Linked DNA regions of Ovis aries. The protein of the gene in region 3 interacts with the protein of the main gene of each other region in a biochemical or structural test. Links are inferred from orthologs where the notes say so. Each region holds a gene or a part of one and is shown on either strand. Other genes may lie near its edges. The genes, in order: U2AF2, MECP2 and PRPF40A.

What was found.
Region 1: the proteins of PRPF40A (region 3) and U2AF2 form a complex in vitro, tested with the Homo sapiens proteins (2 studies listed by BioGRID). The link is inferred for Ovis aries from reciprocal best matches to the Homo sapiens genes PRPF40A and U2AF2.
Region 2: the proteins of PRPF40A (region 3) and MECP2 form a complex in vitro, tested with the Homo sapiens proteins (2 studies listed by BioGRID, with this or other methods). The link is inferred for Ovis aries from reciprocal best matches to the Homo sapiens genes PRPF40A and MECP2.

The regions. Positions count from the first base shown.
Region 1 is NC_056067.1:62,665,404-62,676,283, forward strand, and holds the start of U2AF2 (splicing factor U2AF 65 kDa subunit), read right to left. Parts: upstream 7,328-10,880; 5' UTR 7,219-7,327; coding exon 7,170-7,218; intron 3,675-7,169; coding exon 3,539-3,674; intron 3,052-3,538; coding exon 3,007-3,051; intron 2,773-3,006; coding exon 2,669-2,772; intron 2,572-2,668; coding exon 2,420-2,571; intron 1,334-2,419; coding exon 1,217-1,333; intron 1,083-1,216; coding exon 944-1,082; intron 1-943. Other genes in the region: CCDC106 (coiled-coil domain-containing protein 106), read right to left, coding at 9,308-9,624, 9,981-10,193. UniProt on the Homo sapiens protein: Plays a role in pre-mRNA splicing and 3'-end processing. By recruiting PRPF19 and the PRP19C/Prp19 complex/NTC/Nineteen complex to the RNA polymerase II C-terminal domain (CTD), and thereby pre-mRNA, may couple transcription to splicing.
Region 2 is NC_056080.1:80,259,643-80,269,973, reverse strand, and holds part of MECP2 (methyl-CpG-binding protein 2), read right to left. Parts: intron 3,222-10,331; coding exon 2,871-3,221; intron 1,775-2,870; coding exon 691-1,774; 3' UTR 1-690. UniProt on the Homo sapiens protein: Chromosomal protein that binds to methylated DNA. It can bind specifically to a single methyl-CpG pair. It is not influenced by sequences flanking the methyl-CpGs.
Region 3 is NC_056055.1:156,955,200-156,965,530, reverse strand, and holds part of PRPF40A (pre-mRNA-processing factor 40 homolog A), read right to left. Parts: coding exon 10,239-10,331; intron 10,082-10,238; coding exon 9,978-10,081; intron 9,882-9,977; coding exon 9,765-9,881; intron 9,471-9,764; coding exon 9,333-9,470; intron 9,085-9,332; coding exon 8,989-9,084; intron 7,023-8,988; coding exon 6,936-7,022; intron 6,850-6,935; coding exon 6,753-6,849; intron 6,670-6,752; coding exon 6,608-6,669; intron 4,788-6,607; coding exon 4,656-4,787; intron 3,374-4,655; coding exon 3,281-3,373; 3' UTR 1-3,280.

The DNA.
Region 1 (10,880 bases), on a different chromosome or scaffold from region 3:
GCACCAGCTCTAACCCTGTACTACAGGACAGTCACGACACCACCGCACCCACAGGGAACCCCCAGATGGTGCCTGGCATGGCAGGCTTGGGCCAGCCTGCATCAACAGGATGGTTAGGACGCATTTGGGTCACCAGGAGGCACCGAAGCACATCCTGTGGCCTGATCCCCCAGACACACGTGCACAGAAAACACGGCAAATCAGCAGGTCAGGGCCTCCCACAAGCTCCAGAGACTGCTGGCCTCCCCCACACGCTCAGCAGGGACCAGAGAGGAGCCAGGTGGTCCCCAAGGGCCGCCCTCGTTGGGCCCCGCACCCCTGGCTTCATAAGCACAAGGACTGCTTCCAAAGCGCGCCCTTCGGTGTGAACCTCAGCTAGGACAACCCGTGCTCTCAACCCCCGGGGGCGGGGATGCCCCCAACACAGGCCCACCCTCGGCATAGCCTGCAGGTCCGGTGCAGCCATGTGCTGCTCCTGCCCGGTCTGAGGACTTTCCAGAAGGGCCTTTTATACCATGAGTGTGACAGGGCCCCCGACGCCAGCATCTGTGAGCATTCGGGCCAGAGTGACCGAGGAGCTCCACCAGAGACAATGTGCTGCAAAGCACAGCAACTCTCTGGCCCATCAGAGAGCAGCCTCTGGCCACCCAGGTCTGCTTCGCTGTCCACCTACCCAGACGGCACTGACCACGGCAGGGAGACCTGCTTCAAGCCAGGGGTCAGCGGAAGCCCCGAGACAGGAGAGCAGGGACAGCCGCCCGTCAGGCCCGAGGAGGAGCTCCACGGGCACGTGGGCGTCCACATGGGCTCTGGCGCGTGCACTGACCTGGAGGCCCAGCGCACCCCACTTCTCCCAAGACCCTAGGGCTGCCCAGCCTCCGACAGGCTGAGAGACCCCGGGCTGGCCCTGTGCACCCCTCAGTGCCCCCCAGAGCCCACTCACCAGGCACGTAGACAGAGGGATTCTCCGACATGCCCGGCAGGGGCTGGTAGTCATGAGGCCTGCGGATCTTCAGCGACTGGCCCTGGAAGATGATGCCGTCGAAGGCCATGGCCTGGGTGGTCTCGTCCACTGAGCGGAACTAAAGAAAGGACAGGAATGAAGCTGGTAAGGGGCAAGGCGAGTGGCTGGTCAGAGCCCACCCAAGGGTGCCAAGACCGCAGCTGGGTGGCGAGCAGACTGCAGAAGGGCCTGGTGGGAACAAGGCCTGCTCACCTCTAAGAAGGCAAAGTTCTTGTCCTGGTTAATCTGCACGGCCAAGACAGGGTTGCCAGGGGCCTGCGTCAGCCCCCCCAGGCGCATCTGAGCGTTGAAGAAATCCATCATGGCCTCCTGCAGAGGAGAGAGGAGACAGGGGGGGGCGGGGAGGGGAGGTGGAGAGAGGAGGGGAAGGGTGAGAGAGGGAGACACAGAGGGGTGGGGGGAGGGGGGGGACAGTGGAGTCCGGGTGGGGCAGAGATCAGTAGTTGGGACAAACGCAGGAGAAAGATGAAAGAAACAAGGGCAGGGGGCAGCACAGGAGACAGCCAGGGGCCCCAACCGGGGAAGAAGGGAGGTCATCAGAAGAAGCGGGAAACGAGGGAGAGGCGAGAAAACAGACGGAAAGTGTAGAGGAAACATCCAGTGGCGACAGCAGGAGAGAGACGGCATGAAGTGGAGCATCAACAGGCGGAGCACACGGAGGGTGGAGGGGGGGCGGGGAGGGGGGGGGGGGGGGGGAGGGGGGAGAGAAGAGTGATGTGGAGGGATCTGGTCCTGGAGTCGGGGGCTGGTTTATCAAATGCAGCAAAGTGCAGGTTGAGAAAGTCAGAATGGACCTTACTTGCCTTCGCCGATGGTAGCAAACTTTTTGTTGCTACGAGGGATCTCAGCCCCACAATATTTCACTTTAAAGAGAAATGGAAACAACTCTTTGATCTCGGGATTCTCGGGGGCGCCACGGGAAGGGGTAGGGAGAGGGGAGGGGACAGGAGCGGTGGGGAAGGCGGGGAGGTCAGGGCGATCAAAATCAGAGCAGCAACCATGGAGGGGTGGGGGAGAGGACGGGGAGGCGGCAGAGAACAAGAGGCGTGTCAGAGAGGCTGGGGCGTGCGTCTGCGTGTGTGTGCGTGTGCGTGTCTCCCTCTCTGTCTCTCTCCACACGGACTCGGACCACAGACTCGTGGGTACGTTATGTGTGTGCTTGATCCCTGGGCAGCTGGAGGAGGCTGGGGAGGGGAGATGGGAGAGGGAAGAGGAGGGAGGAGAGGGCCACCCAGCCCGGCCCCTGGCTGGCTCAACTCCATCGTCCGTCGGGGAGGGGGCCGGGGGGCCTTGCAGGCGCAGAGTCTGACCCGTGCAGGCTGGGGGAGGGAACGGACGGAGGGAGGAACAGCGGGCACAGGAAGGGGGGGCAGCGGGGGCAGGGGAGGGCAGTACCTCAGTGATGCCAAAGGGGATGTTGCCCACGTAGAGGCGCCGGGCCTGTCTGGTCATCTGGCTCCCGACCACGGGCACCGGCGTTGGGGTCACAGCCAGACCGTCAGGGGTCATGGTGGGGAGGAGGGCAGTGGCTGGAATCTGACCCGCAGCTTCAAGAGGGACAGAAGGGGTCAGAGGACAAACTGTCGGAGCAGGGTCTGCTGAGGGCCTCGCCCACCCCGCCCCCAGCCCAGGCGTGGAGCCCACCTTGCATGGCCTTGTACTGCATGGGGGTGATGTGCTCAAAGCCCGGCGGCGGCACGTCCCAGTATTTGCGGACCTTCTTCTTCTTCTCGTGGCGGGGGGAGCGACTGGGGGAGGCGGGAGGGGAGAGTGGGGCAGGGCGACCTCAGTCTGACCAAAGGCGGGCCTGCAGCCCCCCCGGCTCCCCTCGGTCCCCGGCTCGGCTCTCAAGGAGAGAGAGGACGCAATCAGGGCCGACCCGTTCTGGGCAGGGGACTCTTCCCGGCGAGCGGATGAGGACAGGGCGGGGTGCGCGGGGAGGCGGGGGAGGGCGTGGGGGAAGGGGCAGAAGAGAAGCTCACATCAATCCACCGTGCTCCTCTTTAGCGCCTCTGGTCAAAGGTTTGCTGGGGGTGGGAGGGAAAGGTGTGGGGAGGGGTGACTGGGGACCCTCGTCTCCCCGCACACCGCACCCCCCCGAGGGCACTGAGCCCCAGGGCTGGGGCAGGGCATCGCCCCCAAGCCCCCCAGCCACGAGGAAGGGAAGAAGGGCCAGACAGACCAGCTTCCAGCTGGAGGCTGAGGTGGGAGGAGGCGGGGCGCCACCCACCCGCCCTTCCACTGGGGCTGAGAGAACAGGGGGCAGCCTGGGAAGGGAAGAGGCGTCCGAGCAGAGAGCTGTCCCGAGAGACGCCGTCCCGCCCCAGGGAGGCAGAGCGCAGCCCGGGAAGCCGACGGAGAACCCAGACCAGACGGGGGAAGCGGGGCCCTGACCCCAGAGTCGCCCCCGGAAGCCCCCGCAGAGAGACGACGGCGGCCAGACAGGACAGCAGAGCCCCCAGCCCCGCGTGGAGAGGGGCCGGCGGCCCAGACGCAGCCCCGCCGCCCTGGTACCTGCGGCGCCGCCTGTCCCGGGAGGCGCTGCGCTGGTCCCGGTTGCGGCGGTCGCGGCTCCGGCTGCGGCGCTTGCGGTCCCGGCTCCGGGAGCGGCTGTGGCTGCGCTTGCGGTGCCGATTCTCCTTGTCGCGCTCTGCGGGGACAGGGCCGTGAGCTGGGCGGGGGCAGCCCGGCCCGCCCGCCCCCGAGGCCGCGCCCCTGCCCGGGAGGCCACCCCCACGGGGAAGGGCTCGAGGAGGGCGGGGCGGCAGGCTTCCTGTCCACGCACGCGGAGCCCGAGGGCCCTGGGGGCCGGGCGGGAGCAGTTACCTGAGGGGACAGGGCCTGGCAGGGCCCCGGGGTGTAAGGTACCTGAGTCTGCTCAGGAGGAGCTGGGGGGCCAGAGAAGTCAGAGGAGGCTGGCTCCTGGTCCCCCTCCAGGGCTGAGGGGCCTGACCCAGGGTCGTCCCTGAGAGGGGCAGGGCTAGACGCTGGGGAATCAAGAGACCCAGTGATGTTTTCCTGAAGGGACCCGGCGACCCCTCAGGAGACTCCTCCTCAACCAGCCGGCCCCGCGCCCCACCTCGGGCCCGCGTCAGGCCGGGCGGGGCCGGGCAGCCCCGGGGGGGGGGGGGCACCCACCCGTCCAGCCCCGCCCCCAAGCGGACCGCCCTCCTGGGAGGCCCCGCCCACCACCCCCGCGTCAAGGACGCAGGAGCTGGGTGGGCCCTTCGTCCAGACCGCCCCACGGCCGCTACAGCCGGGGCCTTCGACCTCCCCTCCTTTGCCCAGCAGCCCGCCACCCTCCGAGGCGCGCGGCTTCTGCCCCACGCGGTCTGTAGTCCAGTCCCTCGGTTCAAAGAGGCCACTGGTTCCTCCACTATGCTCAACCAGCCCTCAGACTCCAGTTCATTTTACAAGGAGGCGGGGGCAGTAAGGACAGGCTGTCAAAGCCTCGGGCGTACTGCTTCAACTCTCAAGCTCTTCCGAAGCAACTACCCGCGAACTTTTATAAATGAGTTTTAACACTAAAGCTACATACGCACCCAGAAAAGAAAAAAACCTCGTTGCAAACACTCAGATCCTGTCTAAAACCAGACTCTGCTGCTTTTACTCCCCGGGTTACTGTGGGGAAACACTTGCTGGGAGCGGGAATCTCGCTCACAACAGACGAGAAAATTGAGGCTTAGGGAGGTCATGTGACTTGCCCTGGCCAAAAAGCCTGGATACAGGTGAAGCCTGAATATGAACCCTGAAAGGTCAAGGGCAGCTAGGCAGGGGCAATACCTCTAAACACGAAACAGGCAGACCCATTAGGACCTGGCTGGAACCACTGGTGATGGTGAAATTGCCTCCTCAAAGATGAAAAGACTAAACGTGAAAAATATATCCAAGACTGGCACCAGGAGGAACGGGCAAGCAGTGTGAGGAGCATCCTGGTCCTGGGAAGGGGATGGACAACGGTTCTGGGCCTCTGGCTCCCCACTGCTAAGACGGGGAGACACCCTTCCCTGCAGCTGAGGCTCAGAAACAGACAACCAGAGAGAGGTGGTCACACAGTAAGCACTGGTGCCCGCCGGGTGTCATGGACACAAACACGGAACCCAGGTCGCAGGGGCTGAGGCCTGGGGGAGGCAGGACCGCCAAGACAGACTCAGGGGCAGAGCAGCACGTGGGCAAAGCTGCCCCATAAAGCAAGGGAAACCCCTGCCCCACCCCAGAAAAAAAAAAAACAAAAACAAAAACAGAATGATCCAGCACACATCAGAACAGAAGGGGAGCTCTGGCTGCTCTAAATGCCACGGCCACGTCGTTATGGAACAACTCACCAACCCCAGGGACATGCCCAGGCTGAGGGCCTGGCCTCCCAGGGCAGAGGGGACACCCAGGCAGAGACCAGAGCGCGGGTGTCAGGGCCCCAGGGCAGCTCCATCAGCTCTGGCTGTCCAGCCTGGAAGGACGCGACTCCGCAGCCCCGCAGACTCAGGGGCCGTTTCAGCTTCCTGCACAAAACCGTGCAACAGCAACCAAACCTCTAAACCTGTTTTCTCCTGTTATTTAAATGAGGCTCTTGGGCACCCCCAGGTGTACGGCTTGGGTACATCTGCTGGAAACGCGCGTCCACATTTCCGTGTGAGCCCGCACATTATGAACGATTTCACCGTTGAAAAGGTTCACTTATTGGGTACTTTAAAGAGGCCAAGCCACATGCCACACACTGTCGGCATGTTGCCCGCTGAATCTCAGCTCTGCCTCTCATCAGCTGAAATCTGGAAAGCTTTTATTCTTGAGTCTGTTTCCACCTCTGCGAAGGGTACGAAATCACTTCAGCCTCGCGGAGCTGTTACAAGAACCCTCTTAGGAAAACTGCAGAAGAGCTTAGCAACGTGCGTGACACACTGTGGTGGGTGCTGTAAACTTAACTATTATCACTATCATCTGTTAGCGACCAAAAAAAACACCAGCGACCTACGTGAGAAAAAAATAGGCCCACAAATACTCAGGCACTCATCAGGTGCTACTCATCGTCTGCTCCCCTCCAAAGCCCGTGCTGTTAAGCAGTGCATCACGTATGGGACAGACAACCTGTGGGTAGGTACGCTTCCCCAGGCACAGTCTACTGATCCAGCCACCCCCTCCCCAACTTCAGGCTGGGCCGAAAGGTGAATCCCAGCGCCCCTCACTCAGCGTTCCAGACACAAGCAGAGTAAGCCTCAAGCCCGCCACCTTCCCTCGACCCAAATTTGTTCACTCTCAAACCGGATTAAGGCGGCAAGGAAATCTGCTAACTGTCCTACAACTCTCCCAGCGCTAACGTTCTTGGAGTCCCCAAACTAATCACAGCCCCGTGCTTGGACTCGCCGTCTCCCGAGGGGGACGAGCTTCCCACCCTCTGAAGTGAAACGAGCCCTCTCCTCGCTCAGTGCCCAAGAATCCGCTCCACGCTGAGATTTAGGAGGCTGGCGCGATCATGCAGGCCGTGGGGAGCGATGACAGACAAACACTCCGCACTGCGACCGCCGGGGGAGCCAGGGCCCCAAGAAGGGGTGCAGGGGTGCGGGAGGGGCACAGAGCACGGACAATGCGGCCTCTTCCACCGCCGCCAACCCTAGCAGCCCGCGGGGTCCCGGCGGCCGGTGAGCAGGAAGAAGGGCAAAGGCGCCGGGGTGAGAGGTGCTCCCCACGCGGCACTGCCAGCGCCCACGTGAAGGGGGACCCACAACCGCCATTTTGGAACAAAGGGGGCGTGGAGAACCAGGCCTAACCAGCCGGAAGCGGAAGTGCCAGGGCGTCGGGCGAAAAGGAGTTGCTGGACTCATCTATACAATCCCCTTTCCAGATTAAAAAACGCATAAATCCGTGAGGTGACACCAGGCGAGCCCGCTGCGCCAGCGCCGCCTCCAACGCGACCACTCTAGGCGCGGAGCGGAGCGCGGTGCGCATGCGTCCGGGTCGGCGCCCGCCGCCCCCTCCCCGCCGCGCGTGGCACGCCGGGCGGTCACGTGAGCGAGGCGCGCGCCGCGGGACGGGAGGGGGGGTGCGCCGCGCGGCCCTAAGAAGAGGGGGAAGCGACGGGAAAAATGGCGGGGGACACGGAGGGAAGCCAAGAACCGCCCCGCCCGCTGCCCCTCTCCCCCGGCACTCTCACCTTGCTTATTCTCGTTGAGCTGCCGCTCGAACTCGTCGAAGTCCGACATGCTGAGGCGGCCGCGTAGGGCGCTGTGCAGCTTTCGCTTCGCCTTGCCGCGCGCCCGCTCCGGCCGCTTCGGCTACTTCCGCCGCTAGCTTCGGCTACTTCCGGCCGCCGCCGGCGCTCCGCCGCCTCCTACCTAATCAAGGCCTGGCTGCCCGCCCCGCCCCGCCCCGGCTCCGCCCCTCACCGCCTGCGCGCCCGCGAGGTGCCCCTCCCCCCAGGGTCTGGCGCCGAAACGCGTCGGCTATTTCCGGACCGTAGAGGAAAGCGTCCGGAGCGGTGACTACGGCTGCTTCCGAAAACACCCGAAGTGAGGGTTTCGCGGACTCTCCCAAGTTTTCGTAACTTTTCGGATATTAGCTCTTCCACGTTCGGATGTTTTCGGAGTTCCTTGCGTTCCTCTGTACCCAGCCCCCTCTAAGAATCCGGCTTCTTCTGAAAATTCAAACCGTCCCTTTGACTGCTTGCGCTGATTCTCCCCGCTCTTCTCCGCCGGCCCAGTCCAAGCGAATCGGCTACTTCCGACAGTCCTAACCGTCCCGGAGTCGGCACTTTCCGAAGGTTTCCGGCGCTCGCCTTCGGACCCAGTCAGAGATCTAGCTGTTTCCAAACTTCGGTTCCTTCCGGAGATTCCAGTGGCACCCTCCTCCCCTCCCGGAGAACTTCGGCTCCTTCCGCCACCACTTCGGGAAGACCCCCCACTCACGGGTGACAGCTTCGGCTTTTTCCGTCAGTGCTTCGGCTCCTTCCGGCTCCGGGAACCGAAAAGGGAGGGAGGACAGAGGCGAGGTGGGTCAGGGGAGAGGAAACGGAGAAGGGCAGCGTCCCAGCTCTCGGCACCTGACTCTCCGGGTGGGGAAAGGGGAGGAAAAGAAGGGCCGCTCCTGTGGAGAGCCTAAGAAGGCTGCGCGAGACAAAAGCAGCCAGCGGGGTAAAGGGTGCGCGCGGCCGCTGCGGAGGTTGCCAGCGCGGCTTTGTGCGCCTGCGCAGGGTGAAAGAGGCGGGGGGGGCGAGATGGGCTTCTGCGCCTGCGTTAGACGTCGGTCTGAGGCGAGGTTTCTCAGCCGCTCCAGAAAGGCCCCCCCACCCCTGCTTCCAGAGCCCTCAGCGCGCGTGCGCGAGTCTTCCCCTTACCCCGGGGAGGGCACTGCATTCCCAACCGTTAAGCTACGCCGCCTCTTTACTAGTTGCCGTGGCGACCGCACAAGCGCGCTCGCCCCGCCGCGCAGGCGCCGCGGAGGACACTTCCGGGAGACGGATAATCTCGCGATACCGCCTCCTGGCGGACTCCTCAGCTCGGAGGTTCCCGGCTGCCCCGGCAGGCCACCTCCGTCGGAGGTCATGGAGTCCCTCCTGCCGCCGCGCCTCTGGTCCCAGTAGCCCAGCGGGTGGTGCTCACGCACTTTCCCCGAAGTGCTGCCCCGCCCCCAGGGCACAACTGCCTCCCCTCCCACCCCTGCCTTTGCGGGAGCTAATTACACCCTTTCTCGCCCAGTTCCCCGGCTCCCGCCTGACGGTCCACGCTCCGGAATCCTCCAGAGCCCCCGTCCCCGCGGCAACGGCCACCCCCTGCCCAGGAAAAGGCCGGGGCCTAGTTTATTCCAAATTTTATCATTTTAATTTAAATTATCTTAATAGCTCTGTCTCGTGTGGACTCGGGCGGTCTCGGAAGGCGGGTGGGAAGCTCGCTGCGGGGCTGGGGTGCGGACGGGATATGTACAGTGGCCTCGCCCCGCAGGGTCCCGCAGTCTTCCCCAGGAGGGAGGGCCCAGCGAGGGCAGGACGGTGCCGCTCAGATGCGGGGGTGCCAGTGGTCAGGGAAGACAGAACCGGGCCCTGGATGGTGGTCCTCTTGGAAGCAGGACTAAGGGAGGACAGCCCCCAACCCAGGGAAGGCGGAGGGCAGGGTGGACGCTAGGGCTGTGAGAGGCCCAGGGGACAGACCTATATACAGGGGGCCTGGGGAGGGGGTGGCGGTCCGAGTGGAAATGAGCCGCCCTCGTGGGGGCCCACCGCCCGTGCACACGCCGGCCCCGCGCGCCGGGCGAGGAAGCAGGGGCCGGAGGGCGGGCGCCGGGCCGGGTGGGGTGGGATCACCGCTTGAAGCGGTACGTGATGGGAAGCAGCAGCTTGCTCTTCTTGAGGGCCTGCACCTTCTTGAGGGTCTCCTCGTCCAGGGCCAGGAAGCAGCGGCGCGAGTACTCGAGCAGGCGCTCCTTGGAGGGGTCGAACTCGCCCACCTCGGCCAGCTTCTCCGGGGCTACGATGAGCAGCTCCGCGATGGGCGTGGTCAGCGCCACCGTGTTGCGGTCCACTCGGTGGTGCTCGAAGGCCCGAGACATGCTCTTCAGCTTCTGGAAGGTGCCCAGGATCTTCTTGTAGCGGCAGAGCACCCCGTCCGCGTCCTTCACTGCAAGCCGAGGGCAGGGGAGAGAGTTGGGGGTACAGAGACGGGGGGGGGGGGCGGCGGGGGGGCGGGAGGAGGCAGAAAGTGGAACCAGAAAGACCAGGAGGCTAGCTGTGAGTTACACACGGTGGGAGAAGGGGAGACAGGCAGGCCCGGGGAGGGCCGGAGTGCGGGGAAGGGCTGCGTTCCTCCCAGTCCTCCTGGGCCATTGCTGCCTCCCCCGGGGCCTGAGGCCCTAACTCCAGGACCACCCACGGAGGCCCAGACAGTCAACCAGGTCTGATCTGGTCTGTTTGCCGATGCAGGGGCGGGGAGAAGGGAGCTCATACAGACCCCCAGCCCCCGCGTCCCCCACTCACCCCGCTGCCTCTCCCGGGCCTTGGGCTTCCCGAAGCGCCGCCGGCCTGGGCCTCCTTTCTGCTTCTGCCTCTTCCTCTCCATGGTGCTGCCTTCTTCAGATGCTCCGCTGACCGAGGAGGCGGCTGACTCGGGGTCTGAGGCCTCACCCCCTGTCCCCCCTCGGCCGTCCCCCTCGGCCCGCCGAGGCCCGGGCTTCCCCCGGCAGTGGTCGTCTGGAGAGGGGCAGGAAGACACGCACACACGTGAACTGCGGGAACAGGACATCGAGGTGGCGGGCGGCAGGTCACAGAGTCCCCGGGAAAGGGGGTCTCCCAGGAGGAAGTGCAGCACAGACGCCCAGCTGAACACAGTACACTAGGCCGGGATTTGGGGGTCCTGGGTGGAGCGTGGCCTGAGGATGCTCAGACTTGGTGCAAGAGGTCTGGGGGAGAGGCCCAGAGGACCAGGCCAGTACCACGGGGACCTCAGGAAAGAGTGATTTTGTGGGGTTCTCACAGTGGAGTTTTCTGGGGACCCAGTAAGGCCTCCAGAAGAGTAGGGGCAGGCAAGGGCTCGCTGGGGGCGTGGGGTTCAGACCCCAAGAGAAATAGTCTTTAGGTCTAGTCCCCCCGGGAAGGGCATGCCCCCGCCCTCACCCAGACCGGGAAGCTGCCCAGGTTCTGATGCAGGCCCTCCCTCTAACAGCGGGTTCGGAGCCCGGTGCTGGTCTTACCACAAAGAAAGTCCAGGGGCCCCTGCCCCTGACCATCCTGCGTGGGTTTCCCCAGCATGGGGGGGGCGGATGGTGGTAGACCCCAGCAACCCAGGCCAGAGGTGGCGCCAGAGCACAGGGATCCCCAATGAGGTAGGTGTTGAGAAAAGCTGCAGGGCCCTCGCCCTAACTCTCAGATGACTTTCCA
Region 2 (10,331 bases), on a different chromosome or scaffold from region 3:
CGGGGCCGACAGGTGCTATGTCCCCATCCTGTGAAATGTCCTGGTCGATTTGGGATTGGGGCTGGTGGGGAGCCGTCTGTGTACCCCCATGGGTGGGATCACACGGGCTGGAGCCACTGGCCGTCTCCACCGTCTCGAAAGGATCCAACTGTCTCTTTTGCCCTGGACCTCCTGGTCCCGACGTGGGTGGGCATAAGGGGGGCTGGAGGGTGGGGTGGTGGAGCTCAAGGCTGGGCAGGGTGTGGGGGGAGAGGAGAGCTGAGACTGGGGTAGCGATGGCCCCCAAACCAGGAGTGTCTTCTCAAGTGCTCTCTGTCCCTAGTGACCACGTAGGGGGACTGGGTGGGAGGGAGGTGCAGGCACACCCTAAGAAGCCTGGGCAACAGCTTGTCTGGTCAGTAGTATCTGCAGCAAGCCTTGTTGAAGGAGCCTAGTTTAGAAAAGTGCAAAGCTACTTCTGGCCCTGGTTAGGTCTTCAACCTGACTGTGCTTGTCGATAAGAAAAAAACACCCCCAATGCTCCAACTACTCCCACCCTGAAGCCACGAAACTCTAAGTTTACTGAAAGAAAAAAAAATATTTTTTATTTCAGTTAATCGGGAAGCTTTGTCAGAGCCCTACCCATAAGGAGAAGAGACAACAGCTGCCTTTATTCTTGTTGGTTTGCTTTGCAATCCGCTCTGCGTAAAGTCAGCTAACTCTCTCGGTCACGGGCGTCCGGCTGTCCACAGGCTCCTCTCTGTTTGGCCTTGGCATGGAGGATGAGACAATGTCTTTGCGCTCTCCCTCCCCTCGGTGTTTGTACTTTTCTGTGGCCGGGGCCGCGGTGGCGAGCGCGGGCTGAGTCTTAGCAGGCTCCTTGGGGCAGCCATCGCTCTCCAGCGAGCCTGCTCTCGGCATCTTCTCCTCTTTGCAGACGCTGCTGCTCAAGTCCTGGGGCTCAGGGGGGCTGGCAGGGTCCTCGGAGCTCTGGGGCTCAGGCGGGGGTGGGGGCGGGGGCAGGAGCAGAGGCGCGGGGGCCTTTGGGGGCTCCACGTGATGGTGGTGGTGGTGGTGCTCCTTTTTGGGTGGCGAGGAGGCGCTGCCGCTGCGCCCCTTGGGGCTGCTCTCCTTGCTTTTCCGCCCTGGGCTCTTGCAGGTCTTCAGTCCCTTCCCGCTCTTCTCGCCAAGCGTGGACACCAGCAGGGGCTTCACCACCTCCTTCACCTCAATGCTCACCGTCTCCCGGGTCTTGCGCTTCTTGATGGGGAGCACGGTCTCCTGCACGGACCGGATAGACGACTCCTTCACGGCTTTCTTTTTGGCCTCGGCGGCAGCTGCAGCAACCACACTGCCTGGCTTTCGGCCTCGTTTCTTGGGAATGGCCTGGGGGTCGGCCTCCGCTTTTCGCTTCCGGCCGGGGCGCTTGATGACCATAACCTGGGCCGAGGTGGTGGCCCCACCCCCTTCTGCCTTGCTGCCCGGCGCAGCTTGGAAAGGCATCTTGACGAGCAGCTTTCCAGGACTTTTCTCCAGAACCCTTTTCACCTGCACACCCTCTGACGCGGCTGCCTTGGGTCTCGTGGTGCCACTCCCTTTAGGGCGTCCCCGACCTCTGCCAGTTCCTGGAGCTTTGGGAGATTTGGGCTTCTTAGGTGGTTTCTGTTCTCGCCGGGAGGGGCTCCCTCTCCCGGTTACCGTGAAGTCAAAATCATTAGGGTCCAGGGAGGTGTCGCCTACCTTTTCGAAGTACGCAATCAACTCCACTTTAGAGCGAAAGGCTTTTCCCTGGGGACTGTGGGAACAAGCGGAGACACACAAAGAAAGGTTAGAAGCTTCCAGAGCAATGCTGGAGGTGGGGCACAGGAGAAGGTGGATGGTGAGCCCTCTGACAGGAGATGTTCTGCAACTGACATGCCCGATGATACAGCTCACCAAGAGGGACATTTAAGAGAAGCTGAGATGAGCTAAAATTAGGGAGCTATGGTCCCATTTATACAGGAAGCAATCGGGTCGCCTGATGGCCATAGGTGCCCACGTGGCCTGCTGCTACATGGATGCCCCCGGGAGTTGCACTCCTCAGCCCCCCAAAGGGGTCTGGCCCGGGGACCCTGTCTACCTGCCAGACTGAACTCTCCAGGAATCAGTTTCCTCATTCGCCAGTAGGATGATGCTTTATCTGAGTTACTGGAATTAAATGAGACTGTACGAGTGAATTCCAAAATGGCTAACCTGTCTGGAGTCATTTAAGGGGGACAAGTGAAATGAACGTAGTCACACTTGTCCTCTAAATATCTGGCTAGGAAGTGACTCTGTTTCAACAGGTAACACCCAACCACCAGCCCACAGCTGGACAAAGGCCAGAGGGACAGTGGGAAAGGTACTCCGAGCCCATCTGGGGCTCTCTCTAGGCTGTATCAGACAGCCCCCCTTTACCAGCACGCCTCACGCAACAGACTGAACCCTGTGAATTTGTATTTCTCAGGGCTCATGAAGTATTGGCACAGAAGGACTCTCCCACAAAGAAGAGGTTCCCAGGTCCTGAGGACAGCCCCTCTGCTGGGAAATCATCAGCAGAGTATGAATGGCAGAACTCTGTGTCCCCAGTGCTATTCTTCCTCCAGACAAGGCCCTGATGGACATCTCCCTCAGGGCAGTGACCTCCCCAGGTGGTCATTCCAAGCATACCTGATCAGACCCACCAGCAGTGGTCACTACTGAAGACCCGACCGGAAGTGGGTTACGCACACACACTTTCTTGATCCATGAGCCGCAAGGAGCTAACACTCCAAGGGGTCCCCAAAAGTTTCTTAGTGGTGATCCCTGACTCTTTCCCAACCACCACCACTAGCCTTCCCTGCTCTGGAGAGACAGGAATCACCCTCACTTACTTGATCAAGTACACATCATACTTCCCAGCGGAGCGGCCAGATTTCCTTTGCTTAAGCTTTCGGGTCCAACCTTCCGGCAGAGTGGGGTCATCGTACATGGGGCCCCGATCACGAATGATGGAGCGCCGCTGCTTGGGGGACGCAGAAGCTTCTGGCACGGCTGGGGCCGAGCCTGACCCTTCTGAGGTCTCTGCTTTGCCGGCCTCTGCTGGCTCGGCAGAGTGGTGGGCTGCTGGCTGCAGGGGCTCATGCTTGCCCTCTTTGTCTTCTTTCTTATCCTTCTTCACCTTTTTGAACTTCAAAGGTTTGTCCTTCAGGCCCTGGAGATCCTGCTCTTCGGACTTTTCTTCCCTGAGTGTTAAACAAGGATGTCAGTATCACAGGGAACAAACTGGTGTGCAGAAAAAAGTGGGCGCCAGCAGGTCTGGGGTGCCCTGACATGGGCAGGGCCCCAGGAGAGGGGCTGTCCTACTAGCGTCCCCCAGATTGAAATGCCCTTCCCCTTCACAGATGACTTGAGAGCCTGGGGCTGCTGACAGTGATGGCCCACAGCACCCTACCGACACTGTGGTCACCCTGAGGCCCATCTCTAGCAGGCTTGCCAAGATGGCTTCTCGGTGTTACGAGCTAGGGCCTCTGGGTTGGACGGATGATGAGAGGCTCTCTCACCCGCTGGAGAGGGACCTACTCACCAAAATTGAGGGGGCTCCTCTTCCCCAGGGAGTGTTACTTTAAGTTTTTGTGTTTTTAAGCATAAGTGTTACTTTAAGCTTTTGTGTTTGGGGTTTTCTCAAATGGGTGTTCAATGAAAACCGTACAATACACCTTGGTGATGGGAAGAGCCCAACACTGCCCCTGGGGAGGTGGTGCCGAGTGCAGTGTTGAGGAAAAACCTGCAGATTTGGAGTAAGCCACACCGAGCCCAAATCGTGATTTTTTTTTTTTTTTTTGCCATTTCCAAACATGGATCTGCACAAGTGACTTCAACATCCTGTGCCTCAGTCTCCTCCTATCTTGACAATGGGTACCAACACCCTAGACAGAGAAGAGTCACAAAGGCATTGTCTAAACAGTGGGATGGGGCAACCAGACACTACTGCCCAGGGTTCTCACGTGAGAAGAGGAGCAATTCCCTGCTGGGTGAGTCTTTCTCACCAGACTCTCCTGACCACGCGGGGCTTTGGCACTGGGACGTGCCTGATTCCAGGGCGGGTGCCTCCCCATTCCTCCATGCTGACAGACCAGTTCCTCCGGTATGCATGGGTCCCACCCGGTAGGACCCCCTCCTATCTCCTTGGACAGTGGTTACTGTGAGGCTCCAGACTCTGGGATTAGAGTCTGGCCATGCTGCTCTCGTGGCTGGGCCAACAGGGTGAGAGCATCACCTGGGCCAGGGAGGCCTGGAAACCAGAACTGTGGGCTCAGAGCCAGTCACCTGCAAAGCCCTCTCTTAGAAACTCACCCTGGAAAAGAGCCAGACTCATCTGTGTTCCAGATCTCAGCCCCAGAGCCTCCTGGGGCCCGTGAGGCTCACAACAACCCACCCCAAGTGACTTCCCTTGCTGGCCATACCCTGGAGACCACCACCAAGGCACCAAGGCCTGCCTTGGCCGCAAGACTCGAATGACATGGCTCAGTCCCCAAAAGTGAGTTTGCACCAGAACTCACAGGTCGGGCCCAGGGAGACGGGGCATGGAAAGGGCACACCTCGCCCTCCTACCTATCCTGGCTGTCTCCGGCAGAGCTCGAGGGTAAGCCCAGGCTTAGCTCTGTGTCAGGAACCCAGACAGTCCCAGGCCACAGGAAAACAGGGCCCTGATGGCCAAGTCTGGCTTCTTCAGAGCCCTCATGTGCATCTGTGGATACTGTAACTACGGTGAGCTTTGGCATGAAGCATGTGCCCCAGGAATGCCCCTTAGGTACCAACAAGGGTGTCAATGCCGTCTAGGGCCAGCCCTTCTAGAAATCTACCAAGAACACATACCCACAGAAACAGAAAACAACATTCTGCATTTGAGCACAATGCTATTGGTGATAGCATTCTTTTTACTGGCCCAAGACTGCAGCCAAGCCAGACAGCCACCGCCCGAGACCTATTGGGCCAACACTGACATGTGCACACCACGGAGAGCCAGGTAACCTGAACCCCAGGGTGGGAAACTCAGGGTGGGACCCCCAGGAAGGGGTCCACGGTAGGCCATTCTCCAGGGGAGAAACAGAGACTTTAGGAAGCAGAGGGCAGAAATGCACAGAACTAGTCCAACATGGGGTAGGCGGGACTGAGGTGAGGAATGGCACAGGGCCAGAACTTGCCAGGTGTGTGGACCAGAATTTCATTTTCCGAATCATGTAAAAGTTGACATAACCAAAAAGAAAATCAAGACAGAAGGGAAGAGACTAGAACACGCCTAGCATCCATGGAGGGGAAACAGGCTGGCTCAGGTCCTAGGGCAGCCTGTGCTGGGGAAAGTGAAGATCCAAAAGCATGAACTGTTTAGATTTCAGAGAAGAAAATAACCCGCTTGGCGATGTTGGGGGGAAAAGGAGGGAAAGACAGAAAGTGAGGGAGGGTCTCAAGGGTCTTATGAGGAAGGTTTTAGGCAGCAGGGAGGCCTCAAGGAGGGGTCATGGAGCTGTGTCGGGTTTGATTCTGGGTGTGATGGGATTCCTTCAGCTGCTGTGTGGAGAGTGGCCTGCAGGAGACCCCAGAGAGCAGCAGGTGGCCTGGGGGACTCTGAGGCCTGCTGGACTCCATGCCACAGCAGCCCTGCAGCAGCATCACCTTGATGATCTGGGGCAGGGGATGGCAATTCCTCATGGGGCGATGCCCAGGGCAGGGCAGACTGCTCCAGGGGCTCTCGAGGCACAGTCCCAGGTGTAGGTAGTGGGGACTCGGGACGTGACCAGGAGGTGAAGCAACACAGCTGGCCGGTGTGGGGAAAAGTGTCACCAACTGAGGATAGGGAAACCTGGGCCAGCAGCAGGGTGGAGCGACAGCCAGCCCTGCGAGGAGGCACTGCAGGAGCAGCAAACACCGCATTATAAGCAGTCTCCACCTCAACACAAAGGAACAACTAAAAAGAAGCTCAAGGAGGGGAGGAGAGAATTCTTTGGCTACCAAGTAGGGAGACCCCTGTGCCCAGACTGCAACTTGGCCTAAATGAATTGCATGGGCTTTGAGAGATTTTTATTACAATCACATAGACATAACGTAAAACCTGCCCTTTCACCTAAATAATCGATAAATGAGTTTTCAATAGCACCAATGATGGGAATAAGACAGCCTTTAACTATCTATGACGTCCTGGCTCTTTCAAATTGAAATTACTTGAAGCTGCTATGAAAATATGGTGATTTTCAATTCTGTGGACTGACGGGCACAGAGGTGGTTTGGTACTTTTTCTGACTGCTACTGAAAACAAATAAAAGCCCACAAAGAAGCCTGGAAGCCATTCTGCTGAGTGTGAACTGGAGGCAAAAAGGGTGCCAAACAGGTAATCCAAGTGAGTCACCCCTGGCTCAGTTGCCTGCTCGGTGGCAGGGTAACCTGAAGGAGGGAGGCCAGGCAAATACTTGAGGCCCCCCAGCAGAAGGGTTATGGGGTTTGTTAAAACACAGTTTCAAAGAAACCAAACAGCCCTCTCTTCATCCCCCCTTTCATCAGACTGTATCTCTGTGTGCATGCGTGTGCACACACACTGCCCCAGAGAGGACCGTGAGAACTGAGTACCTAGTTCTTAAGTTCATCCATTTGAGACTTGTGGGTATCCACCTGATCAACTCTTCAATGTTACAGGTCAAAAGAAGAGCAGAGATAAGCAGACAAGGTTACCTGTCTGAGGTCATATCTGAGATGACATGTGCTCGTCGACGGCCCTTGCCCAAAGCCAGCCTCAGTTCTGGATGGGGACACCAGGGTAGAACCAGACTCACTCTCTAGGCTTCAAGTGCTCCCCGTTTGGGGGAGCGGATGAGGGGAGGCAGCCAAGGGTGACCCTGTCCTCTGTCCCAGGCACAGAGGAAGGCCAGACACAGCGGGTCTTCAGGGCTGATGATGAGTGCTCTGGGCACGGCAGACCAGGTGGGCCTGGGTGACCCCAGCAACAGCTCTATCCTGCCACCACTGGGAAGCCCCTCCCTGGAGGAATCAATGAGTCAGGGTAAGCCCCGTGTGTCACCCTGGCTCTCGACTTCTGAGAGGCCTTTCCTGCTCCCCACAGTGCCCCAGAGAGCACACACGTCCTCTTTCCTGTCGTCCCCTCGCTCAGGAACCGTGTGCCAAGGGAAGATGGCACCCTCTGCCCATCAGCTTCAAGGAGGCAGCCAGGACATGCCGACTATGGGTGCCTGGACCTTGGGGTTGGCAGGAGAGGGTGCTGGAGTGGCCACTGAGGGCCCAGGAAAGTCGAGAGTGACGCCTACAGCGATGGAGAGTGTGTGGCCACAGAGGACGGTCATGCTGGGGGTGCAGGTCCACGGATCGGCTCCCCGCAGTGAGGCAGAGAGACCTGCAGAGACTCCTCTGGCTGAAACTACCAAAATTGCCGGACTGAACGACTTCCAGAAGATGCTATAGAAGACAGTGCTTACAAAGGTTGACCAATACTCACAAACTGGCCAGAGACTAAGGAATATGCAAGCTAAAGAGGCCAGGAAGGGAGGGAGGGAGTCCTGTTTGGCGAGGACTCCAGCAGGCGCTCCATGGCCGACCAGTAGAAGAGCCAGGAACAGGGAAAAGCGGGGACAGGGATAAGCGGTGATAGCAGCACCTCCTGAGGCCATGAGGAAAGGCCTGGAAATAGAGGGGCATCCCACGCAGTGGCAGGCATGGACTCTTCAGAATGGGTTGCAGCTTGCGCAGAAAAAGGGCTGGTGACTGAAGACATGGGCCACTGGACTGGCTCACTGAAGGCAGCCGGGGAGGTGATGCTGAAGTCCTTGAGGGCTCCAACTGCCCCAAATGGATGCTCGGAGCAGAGTCAGCCTTCAGGCCTCAGGAGGGTGATGGCGTGCCTGCTTGGGGCACAGGGGCAGCATGTCTGCAGAGGCAGAGGTGACAGCAACATGACTGGAAACTGTGCTGCCCGACACCAAGATTTCAAAGCTGTTTCACCCAAGCTGTCTCACAATTAAAGAGGATGCCTTCACTTCACGTGGATATATTAAGAGAAAAGGCTGGAAACCTTGCAGAAGTGGCTTCTTTTAGTGGCTCAAAGCACTGCAACGTTTTCAATAGCATTATGCTCTAGATAGTACAGCTATGAGTGTGAAAGAAAGTGTTGACATGTTTCCCTGTGTTTAAAAAAAAAAATCACTGCCAAAGGCAGCCTTGCCCAGGACCCAGCTTTTAATATCAACAGAAAAACTAACCTGTACAATGCAGGGAAGGAAGCACCAATCTGGGGTCATGGCAAAAACCAGTCAGCTGATATTGATGCCACTTGCAAATGCCAATAGAGCCTCCAGTGAGCCCTGGTGCTTCTTTAACCACAATGGTTACTGGTTTTGTGAGCTCTGATTACCAAATCACACACATTTCTCATGGTCTACTCTGATCCAGTTTTTCCCATAACAACTTCTGTTTTCCAATGTGTGATTACCAAAACACACGATTTGGGGAGGAAATGACATATCACATTGAAGCAGAAGAGCTACACAAATCTTAAACATCTATAAAGACTGAGAGAAGGCTCTTATGTAAATAAAATCATTTGCTAATTATGCTCGTGAAACAAAAAACATTACATCAAATCCTTGCTTTGACCTAGCAAAGGAAAAAGAGTTGCAGGAATCTTGACTTCAGTCCAAATCACTGTATCCCAAGGGGTCTGATGGCAAGAACTGACTGTATTTTCCTAATGAAAGGAACCTCCAGTAATCAAGCGGGAGGCAGCCTTGGTAAGCCGTACCAGGCACTCTTTGGATCCAAGGCTCCTGTGAATTCCACGGGTGTGATCGCTGACATTTGGCACTTGCACTGATCAGACCATGGACACTCAGGTGGGATTACTCAACCCCCAAGGATTTCATATTAAAGACAGACAGACCACAAAACCAGGTGAAGGCTGTAGCTGAAAAGGTATTCTTCCCTTGAAGTGGAATCAGGCTGCCCCAGAGTGAGCTCTAGGACATTTCCAGAGCCCCAGCGATATCCTGACGTTTCCTAATTTCAGTCATGCTTGCATCAGGCCCATGTTGGGAGATGCGTGTGTCAGCACCTTTCATTTCCACCTTTCAGCCACCTCGTGGAGTCCGGTCAGGAGCCCAAGCCTCACTACGAAGCCACGAACTGGAAGGATGAGGGGGTGGCTACTTCTCCACGTCAATAGTCTGGGACCCGAGGCGAGAACAGGCCTCCCGGCAGAGGCTGCTTCTGTCCCGAAGAGTCAAGTACGAGCTACAGCATCTCAGAATCCAGGAGGTTTCTCTGCACGAATCATCAAGGCAGCAGCACTGTGAGTCTCCAGCTTTGGTCCCTTTAAAGATCTGAGAGCAATCAAACTGGCACTGCAAGATGGTCTCAGAGGTCTCTGCAGAGGAGGAAGAGGGACGGGGTTCTGCTTGAAGGCTTCAACAGTGGAACCTAAAGTTCAGTGGCCCTGTTCTGAACTCAGTGTATTCTTTAATAGCCCAGTTTTTAGAAGATGCAAGAAACTATGCTTTGAAAAGCTGTACAAAACACAGTTCATGCCGCCCAAAGATAGAACCCTCCCCAAATGAAGGCAGTCAGTGCCATACGGTAAGTCTCCTCGTCACAGCATGAAACCACTACATGTGGGAAAGATAAGCAAGTTTGAAAACACACTGCCACTGTGGAGAACAGTCAGGCAGTTAGTTCCTCAAAAAGGTAAATGTAGAGTTCCCATGTGACCCAGAGATTCCACTCCAAGGTATGAACCCTGGAGAGTTGAGAACAGAGACTCAAACAAGAGCCCATGGATGACGATGTTCCTAACAGCACACATCACAGCAGCCAGAAGGTCCCAAGAAGGACTTGGCGCTCTGACTGCCAAGAGCCAGAGTTCAATCCCTGGTCAGGAAACAAAGATTCCACAAGCCCCATGGTGGCCAAAAGGAAAAAAAAAAAAAAAAAAAAGAAGGAAACTCTGACACCTGGTACAGCATGGATGGACCATGAACTGAAGATGTTAATGCTAAGTGAAGTAAGCCAGACACAAAAGGACAAATATTATGAGATTTCATGTATATGAAATATCCAGAAATAGGAAAATCCAGAGACTACAAGTAGGATATTCACTGCCAGGGGCCAGAGGTAGTAAGTAATATAGAATGACTCCTAATGGACACAGGGATTTTTTTTTTTTGGGGGGGTGATACAAATATTTTGGAACTAGATAGAAGCAATGGTTGTACATTTGTTACTGTTGTTCAGTCCCTAAGTCGTGCCTGACTCTTTGTGACCCCATGGACTACAGCACGCCAGGCTCCTCTGTCCTCCAC
Region 3 (10,331 bases):
AAAGTGATTTAAGATAAAGGAATTAATGTGCTTTGCCTCAATTTTGCTTTTAGAAGTGTTTATTTAGTTCTTTAGCTTTGCAATTTACATTTAAGTTACATAATCAACACCCTATAAACTCATTTAAAAAAATGCATTCATTACTCTTTGCTGGGTACTATTTGATGAGAAACTGCTCTCTCAAATAGTATCCAAGTTTTAAATAATCCTTAAATAAAGGATTTACCCCTATCTGGATGCAAAAATAAAAGTGGCTGCCTAGTCAGCACTCAGTTGATCATTAACACTGGAAGAAAACCAGGATCACCTAGGCAAATGATTCTTAACACAAGATGCAGGCCCCCTGGTAACTGAATGAAAACTATGGACCTTCTTTTCAGAAAAATGTATACAAATATTTGAAGTTTAACAGTCTTACTACTGTGAATTAAAAGACTGTTTTACTCTAGGCCAACCCCTTTCACACTATTGTTGTACACGGGGTGCAATTAGCAAAGATCAAGATGAAATGGCTGTGATACTTTGAGTATTTTCAGATTTACTGGGAGGCATAAAAATTATTTTCATTGTTGAAACACATGAATAATCTATAGGTTGACGCTCCTTTGGGTAATGATAATGAAATGGCATCACTATATTAAAAATGTTGGGACCACTGCTTTTATTTAAAAGTTTTATGTTGTTTAAATACACTTGGGAGAGGTGCAAAGAATTCTTCATATGTCATTAACTTTTTAAACCAATTCAATTTTTCCACATAGGAATTAAATACTGGAATTTTATACTGGAAGGAATAAAAAATATTTGAAGTCCTAATTTTGATTATTAAGCATGATATTAAATGTATTACTGAATTTAATCCAAGAGTGCATTAATATTAATGATAATGAGGGAAGATAAGCCCTTAACATTTACCTAAGTCTGAGGCTTAACTGAAAAGTATAAATTCCCTTTATCTGAATATAAACATACTTTCTGTTTGAACACATTTTGAACATAACTGTTCAGCTCTATTAAAACCAATATTCTAAGACATTTCAACTTTATTAGACTGAAGACCCAGAAACCTAATGAAATGGATTAAAGATATTCACACATAACTCTTATTTTAATAAAATCTACCCATCACCTATATCCCAGGCCATAGCATCTGTCTGGCAACTTAATGCCATTTGATGGGATCACTACAGGATTATAGTCACTTCAATTACATACTTTATAAAAACTACGTTGTAGTTTTGCTTTACAACTCATTAGCCTTGTTTTTAGGTCAAATAATTTTCATGGTTGGAACAATAAGGAAACTTGAGTTTGTACTGTCTTATGGGAATCTGAAGTTGTGATAAGATAGTATCTCTGTAATACAGAAAGTTAATTTGGAATATGCTAAATCATGTCAATAGTTTAATAGGAAAACTAAAAACTTTAAAGTTCTACTTTAAAAAATCATGATTCATGGAAGTAATTAAAAGTTTTACAGATTCTAAATTCTGTGAAACACCACCAATATTTCTGCCAATATCGTATGTAAATTTTACTTTGATGTCCAGGTTAAGTGTTTGACACGATAAGCAATATTAACTATTATTATGAAGGGGCCTCTGAAAATTAAGTCTAGGCAACTTGCCTGTTGATAAAGTTGTTATATGTTGTGGTTCTAATATACAATAGGAGACTAACGTCAAGCAAGAAACTGGCTTTGCATTTGTTGAAGATAGTGGTTTTTACTTTCTACAAAGTCATGTCATATTTCACAGCAGAAATATGACTTGGCATTGAGAAAAGTTCAGGACTCCCCCAGCCTTCTGCAGCTTTCAAGAGTGGATACTAGATTTAATTGAAACATAGGGGGCAGAGATGGGAAAAGTCATCCCAATATGTCCCACTTTCAAATTCATTAGGATGGTGAAGGGAAAATGAACTTTTTGTTCTTCTAAATCCCAACGTGAAACAGGATTGCCCCAAATGCCCAAAATAAAAAAATACCTAAGGTAATACCAAAGACTATGTGCTAAAATTTACTTATTTACTTAAAAAAAAAAAAAAAATCTCCTGCACTGAAGGAAAATAGTATAAATTACATTACCAACCTTCAAAAGTTAGCATGTAAAAAGTATTCTAGCTTCAAACCATTGCCTTTCTTAAAGTATTCTGTAGGAAATTCATAGATCAAAAACAAATAGAGGGGCCTGTATGATTTATAATATTCTTAAATATTAAAAAAGGAAAGTAACTTAGCTATGTGGGTTAGATAAAGCAAAATTTTAGGGGTTTAGTATCTTAACCTTTAAAGAATCATACAATTTTTTTTTCAGAGCTGAGCAGTAGAAATAAATACTAGTACACACTAGAAGAGAAGATTTAATAATTGATAAAAATGTACAAAAATATTCAAATCAGAAATGCTTTAGAATGTGTACCACGAAGTCAATACTTCTCAGTGAGTAGGGAAGGTAAAAGACTTCCTCAATGAAAAAAAGCAAGAGAAAGTTCGGATTAAAAAAAAAAAACTGTTAAAGAAATTGCTGAAGTCAACATTGATTTGTTTTAGACAAGGATATTGCAGCCATCACTTAAAGTTTGGTGGCACATTCTTTAGTAGGTCCTTAAGGCAATATATTTAAGCTAATTTACAATTTGATTTGATGTTAACTTTTTAAACATCACCTCAAAATAATGCCCTCACAGTAGCCTTTTCAAAATGTATTCAGATGTTCCATAAAAAATAATGGTGGCTTTATTATAGCAGTGCTGAGCAGCACCACTATAGTTAAGGGTCTACCAGGTTTCCATTATGAACACTTATTTCTGAGTTTACCATAAAAGATCATATCATTAACCAGTTGGGTAGTGCACAAAAAAGCAGTTTATCAGTTGCTGGTGCTTTTTTTTGTACTACTAGATATCAAAATTTTTCCATTATATCTTCAAAATCCAACTTCTATAAAGTAAATCAAATCACCTCATGACTTACACTTTAGAATAAAGTAGAGACACCTGCAGTTATCAGTAAATTGCCACCTTTAATCCATCCTGCAGTGCCCTATGAAAGGGTCACAGACAGACAGTTATGACTGTATGAAAATATGATTCTTGATACAGAATCAAAAGTTATTTTCAATTTCCTCTGCTTTTATAAAGTCCACAATAACAATACTTAAATGCACTTTTTTTTTTCCTGTGATATAATTAAAACCCAGTGTTATTTCAATTGAACTTAAAATAGAGTCCCTGGTCTGAATTAGACTTTAAATCATACTGTAAACATATTTGGTATAATTTATTGATCATCATCCAGTTGCTCCAAAAGGGTCCTTCTGCGCTTTTCCAATTCCCCTTCACTTAGTTCACTGCCAGAAGTATCCCAATTACCCTGAAAAACAACAATGAATACGATTGTGTCAGTACTCAAAAGGGTAAATAGTAGTGAACCTTTGAATAAAGAATACAAAATCTACATGGATTCTCTTCCACAAAAACTAAGGCATCACAGACTGATTAAAGACTGATTTCTTTCCCAAAAGCCTACTAATGAATTAACCAAATACTCCCTGGTTACTTGTGGAGTAAGTAACCAGGGGAGACAGTTCTCTCACAACGGAACTCTTCTAAGGTGTTTACTTTCAGTTTGATATGTAGATCAGGGAGAATAGTATGTATCCATTTCTTTTCCTTCCTTCTACATAACTGAATATGAATCATCTTATTTCCATTTAATGGAAGCTGGGTGTTCATTTTCTAAGTATTCTTCATTAATTTTTCAGAATCTAGGTTATCCTGTGCTTTATACTAAAGTATTATCTTTTCAGCATTATTATATTGTACCCAGAGTTATTAGGACAAGTTAGGCTGGAAAAACTTTAAAAACAACAAAAACCACACAAAACATTTTGAGAAGGAACTCAACTCTTCAAACATAGAGTGTTCACCTATATTTTCCATCACCCTTCAGGGATCCCATTTAATCTAATGTAAGGACACTTAAGTCACTAAGTAGGTACAGAGGAAATAATCATTCCTCACTAAAGATGTACATCAGACTCTTCAGTGCTGTTTGAAAACAAACACCTCTCCACCCTATTCCGACCGAAGGAGAAAATCCTAAGGGAGGACGAGGACTTACTACACAGCTTAAACTCTCAGTTGGTAGCTCAGAGGCATTATACTTGCTAAGCCCACAGAATTTGTGGCATGAAAGGCTTGTGTTATATGCTCTGCCACACACATACATATGGGGGAAAACTAAGGATTGACTATGTAATTCAATATTAAAACACTGGATTTGGCTTATAAGATCCCCTTTTGCCCTCACCTCTTCCCTCCCAAATGATTATTATTTCTAAAAGCTGTTGGAAAGCTACGTGTTGAAACAGGATTTACAACGATGCCATATCGAGGGAAAACCCAATTTGAGTTTCTTAAATTAGGCAGAAAACATCCATTGGCATTTCTTAATGAGAATGTACAAAGCTAGAACAACATATTCTTTCTTAGAGGGTTAAACAACAGTGACAGAATGCCATGTTATTTTTTTAATGAATATGAAATTTAGGATGCTTAAATTGGGTCACACATGATGACATACATTAGAAAACTGCTCTGTGTGAAAAGCAGCTAACTGGTAGATACAAAGAGGAAGAATTCTAAATTCTTACAGAATCCTTTCCAGTCTTTTTCTTAGGTGATTTGTGTTTTGATTCTGATCTTTGTCTAGTTCTGTCTTTTTCGCCTTCCCGGTCTTTTTCTTTTTTATCTTTTTCTCTTTCAGCATCTGAGTCTGGAGAGTCCTTTGTAAATAAAAGACAATGTTAAAATGGTTACTTTATTAAAATGCTATTAGGGAAAAAAACCTTGTATTGGTAATATTTAAGAACACCCACATTTAACATGGTATTTATGTATTCAGCAATACGTGAACCATGAACTTCCAGATGTTCATGCTGGTTTTAGAAAAGGCAGAGGAACCAGAGATCAAATTGCCAACATCTGCTGGATCATGGAAAAAGCAAAGAGTTCCAGAAAAACATCTATTTCTACTTTACTGACTATGCCAAAGCCTTGGACTGTGTGGATCACAACAAACTGTGGAAAATTCTGAAAGAGATGGGAATACCAGACCACCTGACCTACATCTTGAGAAACCTATATGCAGGTCAGGAAGCAACAGTTAGAACTGGACATGGAACAACAGACTGGTTCCAAATAAGAAAAGGAGTACGTCAAGGCTGTCTATTGTCACCCTGCTTATTTAACTTATATGCAGAGTACATCATGAGAAACGCTGGGCTGGAAGAAGCACAAGCTGGAATCAAGATTGCCGGGAGAAATACCAACAACCTCAGATATGCAGATGACACCACCCTTAGGGCAGAAGAGTGAAGAGGAACTAAAAAGGCTCTTGATGAAAGTGAAAGTGGAGAGTGAAAAAGTTGGCTTAAAACTCAACATTCAGAAAATGAAGATATCTGGTCCCATCACTTCATGGTAAATAGATGGGGAAACAGTGGAAATAGTGTCAGACTTTATTTTTTGGGGCTCCAAAATCACTGCAGATGGTGATCGCAGCCATGAAATTAAAAGACGCTTACTCCTTGGAAGAAAAGTTATGACCAACCTAGACAGCATATTCAAAAGCAGAGACGTTACTTTGCCAACAAAGGTCTGTCTAGTCAAGGCTATGGTTTTTCCTGTGGTCATGTATGGATGACAGAGTTGGACTGTGAAGAAAGCTGAGCGCAGAAGAATTGATGCTTTTGAACTGTGGTGTTGGAGAAGACTCGTGAAGAGTCCCTTGGACTGCAAGGAGATCCAATCAGTCCATTCTGAAGGAGATCAGCCCTGGGATTTCTTTGGAGGGAATGATGCTGAAGCTGAAACTCCAGTACTTTGGCCACCTCATGCGAAGAGTTGACTCACTGGAAAAGACTCTGATGCTGGGAGGGACTGAGGGCAGGGGGAGAAGGGGACGACCGAGGATGAGATGGCTGGATGGCATCACTGACTCGATGGATGTGAGTCTGAGTGAACTCTGGGAGTTGGTGATGGACAGGGAGGCCTGGCGTGCTGCGATTCATGGGGTCGCGAAGAGTCTGACACGACTGAGCGACTGAAGTGAACTGAGAGTGGTGAAATCTGAATTGATAACCTCAAGGAATCTAAAACATTCCAAAGATTCATGGCAACAAGCTGGTCTTTCCTATGGGAAACATGACAGTCTGATAGGGTAAATTATCACTAAAAATGGGTCACTAAATTAGGTGTACCTTCATCCCTAAGATTAGGTGTATCTTGATGTGTACCTAAGACCAAGAACCGAGCATAGAAGAGAAAGTTGCTTAAACTTGTGGTTCTCAACAATAGCTATAACACACACACACACACACACACACACACACACACACACACACGGGTCTTTCTCTAAGATTACTATTTGTTTCAAGTTCACCAAAGGATTTTATTGCAAGATTAAGGTGAACCACAACTATGAAACTCTTGAGCTCAGGTGCTCACCTAAACTCTGTATAGGACCAAGCAGAAATGTCTACTGCCACTGAGAAAGCTAAGGGCAAAAGCTTAGGTGCAGTATAAAAATCAAGAGTCTGCTTACTGATTTATGTCTTCTCTTCTTGCTTTTCTTCTTATGTTTTTTTGACTTCTTATAACTTCTCTCTAAGCAGCATGAAAAGAAAAGTGTCAGAATTTGAGGACATCCAAATGCCAATGACTTTAATCAAGTTAAAAGATATGTTTACCAGATTCAGCACTAGAAGAATGTTCTGAAGCAGAACGAGACTCTGATCGCTGTCTTTTTTTCTTTGAATGGCTGTCATCATCATCTGAATCTGACCCCTACACAACATAAATAATTTTATTCATAATGATGGTAATAAATACTTCAATATACTTATGGTACCATTTGAAATAAACTTCCTTACTGATCGAGAGCGGGAGCGCTTTCTGTGATGTTTTTTAGATTTCTTAGAATGCTTCTTGTTTTTTGAATGATGATGTTGACATTCATGCTACAGGGGCAAAAGAAAAAAATTACAAAAGCTCACACTTTAGATAACAGATCACAGAGAATTTTTAATAGTTTTGCAAGTAAGTTCTTTTTAGAGTAAAAACGACATTCATTTTGCCTTTTTAGGATGTACTCCCCAACTTGAAACTGTGCAAAGAGTTACTATCACTTAAAAGCGAAGAGAACATTTTAACTATCCTATACGTACTCATTTCACATCTAAACACAGGTTTAAAAGTATTAATAAAATACATTTTACAGCAATGAGAATGGTTTGGGTACAGTGGGGACAACCGATACCCTCTATAAAGGTATATGTCTTCAGAACAGTCATACTACTTTCAAAAACAATGAAATATAATTATATAGTATTTATTTGATGAACGTGCCTTTTGTCAGTGAGCTAAGTTCACCACTGAAATAAAGGATTATCCCAGAGCCATCTGTCAAGGAGGTTAGTCTCAGAAATTGAATACAAAATCTACTTTCTTTTCAAGGAGCATTCCCTTCCTAGTCAAACTTAAGATATCCAAAGGCAATCTAACTACACATGAAATCAAAAGAGGAAATGTTCTATGGATTTTAACTATTTTACTAGAACAATGATCAGGCTAGAAGGAGAGAGGAAATGCTGCAGTAGAAGTCCCCTACTCCCAAACCAGGGACTCTCACTTTTTATGTCACTAACTGTTAACTCTTCTTCCTTTTCTACCTCAACGCCCGTTTTTGAGGTCCAAATCCTTTTCTGGTATGTTCAGCTCTTCCCTATGTGGTCATCAGCTCCATTTATGACCTCATCACTTTACCAGCATAGATCATGAAAGAATCTTGTTGTGGACATTCCTGAATTAGGGGAAAATATTAACACACTACACTACAGCAAAGGTTCTCAAAATTAAATGTACATTCCTGTGCTTAAGAATCTTGCAACAATAATAATTCTGATACATTTCTGCCAATGGGGCCTGACGTTCTGTATTTTTAACAAGTTTACAGACAACGCAAATGCTGCTGATCTGAGTAGAAAAGATCTACAGGCCAATAGCACTAGATCTAAAGGCAGCTGAGAGACAACATATGGTACATGTGGGGCATGTTAACAGAGCAAATTGTTGTCAACACTGATACTTATCAAGGACAATAAATCCAAAGAATCATCAACAATTAAGTTACCTACTATTCCCAAAGACCATGAACATTACAAATTTAAGTATATGCTAACTTCACTCTGCTGTGAAGTATAAGTTTATCCATAACTGATGGCAAAGCATACTTGGTAAAAGCACTGGCCCTAGAGTCAAAGCCTACATTGGAATCCCTTCACAGCAAATTACTTTTCCTCTTGGGCTCAGTTTGCTCATCTGTAACTTCACAGGGTTTCTGTGAGGATTACATTCGTATATGTAATATTTATAAAACATAACATGGGCACCAAATAATAATTATTATTGGTCAATTTAGCATGTTTACTATCTATAAGTGACTATCTGAAATCTTCATCAAAATACCCTTAATTCAGCTAGTGGAATAATTTGCAATTTTATCATTACTTGTTTTAGCAAAAACTTACTGTTTTTCAGAACATCCCTGTGCTTCCAACACCTCTATTTGAAATATGCTTAAAACCGTTTCCTATCTGCTTTACAGATTCTAAGTTCTTTACAGGTTTATTAATCATTCCATGTGACTCCTAAATTGATGAACTTCTGTAACACTGTATAAATATGAAACATATATGAACTATCTTCACAGAACAGATCTTTACCTTCTCATGCAAGCCTAGTGTGTTTCACTTAAAAGCAATTTCTATAGAATAAACCATTCCCTAATCATCCCAGATAGTTAAGTACATGTATATAAAAGTAGTGTAATTTAGGAAAAACACTTTGATCATTCTAAATTTGATTTAAAAAAATGTTTTACATATTTTTTAATGTATCAGCCAATTACAATAAAACTAAAATTACCTCAAGCACATGCATAAAATCTTTAAATATTCGTTTTCTTTCAGATTCTAGAGTTATATCCTCAAATGCTGGCTCTTTTACAAATCTCTCCCGGATCTGAAAAATTCAGATATGCAATAAAAATATGAAAACTGAGAAAAATATACCAATATGACTAAAAAAACAGCAAGTGAAAATTGACAGCCCAGCCCCCTTGTCTTTATTTCCGTTTCTCCAGTATTCCTAAATGCCATCACAGCTGAGTTCACAATCTTCAAATAACTTCAGTTTATCTCTGTAGCTATGAGAAAGAAAAAGATTTTTATTTTCAACTGTAAAAGGAAAAAATTTTTAAGTATACATACATCTTCCCAGACAGCATCCAATTCTATTGGAGGAGTAGCTTGTTTCAACATACTCTTAAATGCAGATTCTTTTCGTTTCATCTTCCGAGCCTCCTCTTTTTCTCTTTCACGTTCACGGGCTTCTGCCTTTTCTAGTAACTTTTAGAAAACATATTTATATATATGTAGTACAATTTAACTTGTGTTAAATTCATTATTCTCCCATCATCTATAAGGTAAGGGTCAATTAATTTTAGCAAAGGAATTTACTATCACTCATTATCTAAGTATATTATCTGTTACCTTATTTGAAACCGTGTCCACTACTCTGTAAAATACTATTCCTATTCCCTTATTTCAGGAGTTTACATACAACTTAAGTATCTTTAGCCAAATGTATTAAGAACTGTTTTATTAATCTAGTTGTTTATAACAGTAAGAATGGTAACTTACACTATTGAAAGCCAGCTTAATATTTCCTGCATCTAATGTGGTTGATCTTTTAGTTGAACTGATTATTGCCACAAAGTCTTCAAAAGTAGTATTTACTTCAACTACAAATCCTTTATCCTAAAAAACAGAAATCTTGTTAATATCAGTGACAAAAAGAACATAGTATTATTTAAAAAAAATATGCCCGAGTAAAAGTTAATAGTATATATTTACCTTCAGAATGTCTTTTATTATCTTCTTTTCATCATGATAACGTGCTTTAAGATCCTCAACATAAAACTTGAAAAGGTCAAGTGCAGTTGATCCTAATGAAAAAACTAAAGAAGTCAAAAGCTAGCTCTAATCAAAGAGCTGCAATTACTTTTTTGTTTATAAAACAAAAGAAAGCACACCCCATGCCCCAAACACAACCACCTTTCCCTGTGGCCCGTTCCAACTATCATAACTACAATTTAGGAAAAAGAAGAATCTCACCCGGCTGACCAAGCATATTAGTGAATCTAATGTCAGAACTAATTGTTGGATACAATTCCATCCAAGATGACATAGAATGCAGTTGTCCATGTT